Linked DNA regions of Saccharomyces cerevisiae S288C. The gene in region 1 interacts genetically with each later gene. Each region holds a gene or a part of one and is shown on either strand. Other genes may lie near its edges. The genes, in order: SYM1 and CIT1.

Region 1 (3,270 bases):
TATGAAGGAAGCTTTGGCTTCTGGTCAATTCCGTCCATTAACCAGAAAAGAAATTGAAGAACATTGTTCCATGTTGGGTTTGGACCCAGAAATTGTTTCTCACTCCAGAATTAGAGGTTTGTCTGGTGGTCAAAAGGTTAAGTTGGTCTTAGCTGCCGGTACATGGCAAAGACCTCACTTGATTGTCTTAGATGAACCTACCAACTATCTGGACAGAGATTCTTTGGGTGCTTTGTCTAAGGCTTTGAAGGAATTTGAAGGTGGTGTTATTATCATTACTCACTCTGCTGAATTCACAAAGAACTTGACTGAAGAAGTCTGGGCCGTCAAGGACGGTAGAATGACTCCATCTGGTCACAACTGGGTTAGTGGTCAAGGTGCTGGTCCAAGAATCGAAAAGAAGGAAGACGAAGAAGATAAATTCGATGCTATGGGTAACAAGATTGCCGGTGGTAAGAAGAAGAAGAAGTTGTCTTCTGCGGAATTGAGAAAGAAGAAGAAGGAAAGAATGAAGAAGAAGAAGGAATTGGGTGATGCTTACGTTTCTTCTGACGAAGAATTCTAATCTTTTTGATCACTGCTTTCACAGTTTTCTTTAAGATTTTTATTGATCAATAATTTATGTATATTTTAATTTCTATGTTTTTGTAATATTGTTTATTTTGGTAAAATATAGACGCAACTTCCTTATTATAAAGAAAGGCATTATTTAAAAGAAAAAGCGTTCCATTAGTCAGACATCTTTTTTTTTCATACATTCTTAAGCTCAGGCAAATTGAGCATTGCCTCATACCCTTTTCGGTAAGAGGGTAACGAAAATATTTTTTTGGAAGAATAAAAATAGGTGACGGATCATAGACTAGGAAGCTTTAAAACATGATTGAGCGTAATATTATATTCCTTCTAGAAAAGATAAAAGAGCCAAGACCTAAAATTTTTTCATCCCTGTTCTATTAAAATTGTGGAAATGAGGTTTTTGAGGGGATTTGTATTTTCTTTGGCTTTCACTCTATATAAAGTAACTGCCACGGCAGAAATAGGATCTGAAATTAATGTGGAAAATGAGGCACCACCTGATGGTTTATCCTGGGAGGAGTGGCATATGGACCATGAGCATCAGCTAAAAGATTACACTCCAGAGACTTTCTTCGCGTTACATGATATCAAGAAGAAAGGATTTTTAGATGAAAACGATATTCTATCTCTCTACGGGTTGAACCGTGAAGAAATTGTGGGGGCTGGTGATGGTATGGGACAACACGATGAATCTGAGAAAATTGACAATGAAATGGCTAAGCGTGTTGTTAGCCTTATTATGAGGTTATTGGATGTTGATGATAATACCAAAATCACCAAGGAGGAATATCTACAATTTGCTAAGAGAGGAAACAAGTTCCCTGACCTTGGCGTTGGTGTAGGTCACCACTCCGATTTTGAGCTAGAATATGAAATTCATCACTGGAATAAGTTTCATAAGGACAAAGATCCAGACGTTAAAGTCGTTCACAAAGAAGACATAGAACATGAATTGCTTCATCATGAACATGAAATTGAACATGAAGAAGAAATTCAAAGAGGCGCTTCTAGAGCTACTGTAATAACTGATGACGAACTAGAGTCTAGAATAGAGCTGAAAAATATTCCCGAGAAATTCAAAAATGGAATTTTTTAATGGACTTGGTCAAGATGAATAGTTGAGACTGAGAAAATATTCAAGACACTATGTATGTAGTCAATTAGCATGTAGTAAGTAATCAAAGCACTTAAAATATATTTTTACCATCGCATCGTTGTGATGCCTCTCCTTTGTGATTAACTATCTACTTTAAACGTTCTATTTTCTATGTTCTAATTACGTATGTATTGGTCTTTTCTCTCCGATGGTAACAAGAAGCGTTTCGGGAAACAGTGGCACCTCCTTGTCCCTTAAATGTCGAACTTTAACAGTATAAGTACAAAGTGAAAAAAAAAAAAAAATGGAAATATCTATGATAGTGATATGATAGAAGAGCTATTTGAATGCTATGTTGTCATATTTAGCCTTACAAAAGGGAAAAGGCAAACACAGTCTTTTGTTATTACTATAGGAAAGATAGAATTGATATTAAAACAGTATGAAGTTATTGCATTTATATGAAGCGAGCTTGAAGAGAAGGCCCAAAACTACGAATGCGATAATGACAGGTGCGCTATTTGGAATTGGTGATGTTTCTGCTCAATTGTTGTTTCCAACATCCAAAGTAAACAAGGGTTATGATTATAAAAGGACAGCTAGGGCTGTCATCTATGGTTCTTTAATTTTCTCCTTTATAGGTGACAAGTGGTACAAGATCTTGAACAACAAGATTTATATGCGTAACAGACCTCAGTACCACTGGTCTAATATGGTTTTACGGGTAGCTGTCGATCAATTGGCGTTTGCGCCGCTAGGTTTGCCATTTTATTTCACCTGTATGTCCATCATGGAAGGTAGATCATTTGACGTAGCTAAGTTGAAAATAAAAGAGCAATGGTGGCCTACACTTTTGACTAATTGGGCAGTTTGGCCACTTTTCCAAGCGATTAACTTTTCTGTTGTTCCTTTACAACATAGGTTACTAGCTGTTAATGTCGTTGCAATATTTTGGAACACTTACTTATCTTATAAAAACTCAAAGGTTATGGAGAAAGACAAGGTACCTGTTCATTATCCACCCGTGGTCGAATAACTGGATAAGAAATCCTGATTTTGAAAATATTTGGAATTCAACTAGCATATTTATCAGACCTTGTTCCTTGGGGTACTGGAACAGCATATACCTAATAGACTTTCGGCAGAGAGCAGACCAACTTCATAAATATTTGAGTCACCAAAGTTGGCTAGCAATCTGCTTTTCCTTTACAGATGTGCTTGGTCAGGAACAATTTATTTAATTACATTCGTACTTCTTTTATAGAGGAAATAGTAGCTAACATTTCACTATTGCGGTCATGCCTGTTGTTCTTCAGCTACCGTTTATGCAAAGGTGTTTAATTAGGTGTGAGACTTAAGTGGGCCTTTTAGTACCACTGTGGGTTCTGGACCTTTATATAATATTTCATTTTTTCAAAGGTTTTTTCATATGCCGTTAAAAGAGGTCAAAACATAGACCCGAGGAACATATCTTGTAAATCGCTGCGTTATGTATGCATATTGTACTCCTACCTTCGTAACTGGAAAGAATCAGTCTGAAAGTTTATTGAGCCTGAAACGGAGCAAGATTATAGTTGAATGTTTCTTATTCGGTGTTG
Region 2 (4,092 bases), on another chromosome or scaffold:
CCTCTTAGCAGTGACCTTCTTACTTCTATCCATTGCAAACTTCACAGGCGAAGTTGGCGTCACTAGAGCTGGTGGGGTCCTTGGTGTGATAGTAGCCTTCATTGCCTGGTACAACGCTTACGCAGGTATTGCCACAAGACAAAACTCGTACATTATGGTCCATCCATTCGCATTACCTAGCAATGATAAGGTGTTCTTCTAAAAACACAAAAGTGCAGGCTAAAATAACTTTTACCCCTATTATATATTCTTATGATCCATTATTTATGAAAAGCCCAGCAAATGTCGAACAAATCGGCCTTTGTTTTATTTCACATAGAATCCTTTATAAAACAACACTGTTCTCATGCATTTCCGAACTATTGTTCTTGTTGTATAGGAGCACGGTTTACCCCTTTTGCTATTGACACATGTAATATCGCATAAAAAAGAAACCGCACTTCATAGTGCATAAGCAGTACAGAAATGATATCACATGTAAGTGATAGCGATTTGACTGTTTGCTACCGACAAGACTATCTGAAATAAGAAAAAAAACGACCCCAGTGAGGGTTGAACTCACGATCTTGCGATTAACAGTCGCACGCCTTAACCAACTTGGCCATGGAGTCACTTTAAATTCTGCAGAACGTGAAAGGTTCGATTTCCATGATCTACACGATTTTAATCATCTGTAAGCCTTGCCATGAAGCTAAATTGGTGAATTTTTAAGAATTGTTTTGTTGGAACGAGAGTAATTAATAGTGACATGAGTTGCTATGGTAACAATCTAATGCTTACATCGTATATTAATGTACACCTCGTATACGTTTAAGTGTGATTGCGCCTATTGCAGAAGGAATGTTAAACGAGAAGCTCAGACAATACTGAAGCTGTGTTAAAGACCTATTAGTTGAACATGTTATGGTAGGTACATATATGAGGAATATGAGTCGTCACATCAATGTTTAGTAACTACCGGAATCACTATTATATTGGTCATGATTAATATGACCAATCAGCGTGTGTTTTATATACATCTCTTATTTAGTATAAGAAGATCAGTACTTATTTCTTCATTAATACTAATTTTTAACCTCTAATTATCAACAGAGGAATATGAGGATTCCTAGATCCTCGAGGAGAACTTCTAGTATATTCTGTATACCTAATATTATAGCCTTTTTCAACAATGGAATCCCAACAATTATCTCAAAAATCACCTAAGCCTCACATGCATGTTTTACGTTGTGGTTGATGATCTATTGATGTTGAGGTACCATATTTTGAAATTCATTAAAACAACTTCTACCGGGCGTGTGGTCTAGAGGTATGATTCTCGCTTAGGGTGCGGGAGGTCCCGGGTTCGAGTCCCGGCTCGCCCCCATTGATTTATTTTTATCAAATTTTTTAATATTGCATATCTTTAGTGGGCAAAAAATTTTTCCCTGGGCAAAAATATAAGAGAGCTCATCTTATTGTTGTCAGCCCAATGATTCCCTTGTCAAATTGAATTTTCGGATTTACTTGTTCAGGTACCCGCGTTAAGGGGCTGCCGCGCCTGTCACTCTAAGAAAAAAGGAGCCATCAAAAACCATTCAGCATTAACTAAAAACGCGGGTAGAGATTACTACATATTCCAACAAGACCTTCGCAGGAAAGTATACCTAAACTAATTAAAGAAATCTCCGAAGTTCGCATTTCATTGAACGGCTCAATTAATCTTTGTAAATATGAGCGTTTTTACGTTCACATTGCCTTTTTTTTTATGTATTTACCTTGCATTTTTGTGCTAAAAGGCGTCACGTTTTTTTCCGCCGCAGCCGCCCGGAAATGAAAAGTATGACCCCCGCTAGACCAAAAATACTTTTGTGTTATTGGAGGATCGCAATCCCTTTGGAGCTTTTCCGATACTATCGACTTATCCGACCTCTTGTTGTTTGAAAATGTCAATTGATATCCATCCATTATATAAATGCTCAAAACTTGCAGCAACTATTCTTTACCCTTCCCCTGTTATGGATTGCTAGTCTTAAGGGGGAAATTTGCTGTTTACTAAAATACAAACCAGGTTTGTTTTGGCTTTTATTTGCATTTAAGTAATTACAATTACAACCATTAAAAAGAAAATAAGGCAAAACATATAGCAATATAATACTATTTACGAAGATGTCAGCGATATTATCAACAACTAGCAAAAGTTTCTTATCAAGGGGCTCCACAAGACAATGTCAAAATATGCAAAAGGCTCTTTTTGCACTATTGAATGCTCGCCACTATAGTAGCGCCTCCGAACAAACGTTGAAGGAGAGATTTGCTGAAATTATCCCAGCAAAGGCAGAAGAAATTAAAAAATTCAAGAAAGAACACGGTAAAACCGTTATTGGTGAAGTTCTTTTGGAGCAAGCTTATGGTGGTATGAGAGGTATTAAAGGCCTTGTTTGGGAAGGTTCCGTGTTAGACCCCGAAGAAGGTATTAGATTTAGGGGTCGTACTATTCCAGAAATTCAAAGGGAACTACCAAAGGCTGAGGGTAGTACAGAACCTTTGCCAGAAGCTTTATTTTGGTTGCTTTTGACTGGTGAAATACCTACTGACGCTCAAGTTAAAGCCCTTTCTGCTGATTTAGCTGCCAGATCAGAAATTCCAGAGCACGTTATCCAACTTTTAGATAGCCTCCCAAAAGATCTACATCCAATGGCGCAATTTTCTATTGCCGTGACTGCTTTAGAAAGCGAGTCTAAGTTTGCCAAAGCATATGCTCAAGGTGTATCCAAGAAAGAATATTGGAGCTATACATTTGAAGATTCGTTAGATCTGCTGGGTAAATTACCTGTTATTGCTTCCAAAATTTATCGTAATGTGTTCAAGGATGGTAAAATTACTTCAACCGATCCTAATGCTGACTATGGTAAAAATTTGGCCCAACTTTTGGGCTACGAAAACAAGGATTTTATTGACTTAATGAGACTATATTTAACTATTCATTCTGATCATGAAGGTGGTAACGTTTCTGCCCATACTACACATTTAGTGGGTTCTGCCTTATCTTCGCCATACTTATCTTTGGCCGCTGGTTTGAATGGTTTAGCTGGCCCATTACATGGTCGTGCCAATCAAGAAGTTTTAGAATGGCTATTTAAATTGAGAGAAGAAGTGAAAGGTGACTATTCAAAAGAAACAATTGAAAAGTACTTGTGGGATACTTTGAACGCAGGGAGAGTTGTTCCTGGTTATGGCCATGCGGTTTTGAGAAAAACTGATCCTCGTTATACGGCTCAACGTGAATTCGCATTGAAACATTTCCCAGATTACGAGTTATTTAAGTTGGTCTCCACCATTTATGAAGTTGCCCCAGGGGTTTTAACTAAGCATGGTAAAACTAAGAACCCATGGCCAAATGTTGATTCACATTCCGGTGTTTTATTGCAATACTATGGTCTAACTGAGGCTTCGTTCTACACTGTATTGTTTGGTGTTGCCAGAGCTATTGGTGTGTTACCCCAATTAATCATCGATAGGGCTGTTGGTGCTCCAATCGAAAGGCCAAAATCATTCTCCACCGAAAAATACAAGGAGTTGGTAAAGAAAATCGAAAGTAAGAACTAAGGAAAATTTGATTTTTGATTCAGGGTATGCGACTATTCAAACACGTATTTTCATATACGAATGAGTAGTTTATAATTTATATAAATATATATTACATAAGGAAATGGCTATGACTTCATGATTTTTACGCTTTGAGTCCCCTATGCCTACCGGTTATGTTATATACTTGGCAAATGATATCAATGAATAGAAAACAAAATGCTCTTAAATTCCTGCAAAGCGCTTTCAAATCGAATTGTGGTGGGCTGGCGCGCTGATTTAGCAGTAAAATCTAGCCTGTAGTCGATATACTACGTCAAGGTGTAACTAACGTTTATATGTATATGAACCTGCAGAAGAAGCAAAATGACAAGGTTAATGCATCTTTATCTGTCCTAGAGTAGAAGATACACTAAAAAGTTGATAAAGCGAATATAATATGGTCATGTGAAAAAAGCAATCTCATAAAATTTTCTCTTTTTCCTTTTTTTCTTCTGTTCTTACCTCAAGATAAATGTCACTTTT

The links.
Region 2: mutations in SYM1 (region 1) and CIT1 impair growth when combined (synthetic growth defect), as found in Saccharomyces cerevisiae (one study listed by BioGRID).

The regions. Positions count from the first base shown.
Region 1 is NC_001144.5:639,350-642,619, forward strand, and holds SYM1 (ethanol metabolism protein), read left to right. Parts: upstream 1-2,114; coding exon 2,115-2,708; downstream 2,709-3,270. Other genes in the region: YEF3 (translation elongation factor EF-3), read left to right, coding at 1-565; nucleobindin SSP120, read left to right, coding at 968-1,672. UniProt on the Saccharomyces cerevisiae protein: May be involved in cellular response to stress. Required to maintain mitochondrial DNA (mtDNA) integrity and stability. Required for ethanol metabolism and tolerance during heat shock.
Region 2 is NC_001146.8:629,118-633,209, reverse strand, and holds CIT1 (citrate (Si)-synthase CIT1), read left to right. Parts: upstream 1-2,148; coding exon 2,149-3,588; downstream 3,589-4,092. Other genes in the region: putative ammonium permease ATO2, read left to right, coding at 1-202. UniProt on the Saccharomyces cerevisiae protein: Specific citrate synthase with catalytic activity only with acetyl-CoA.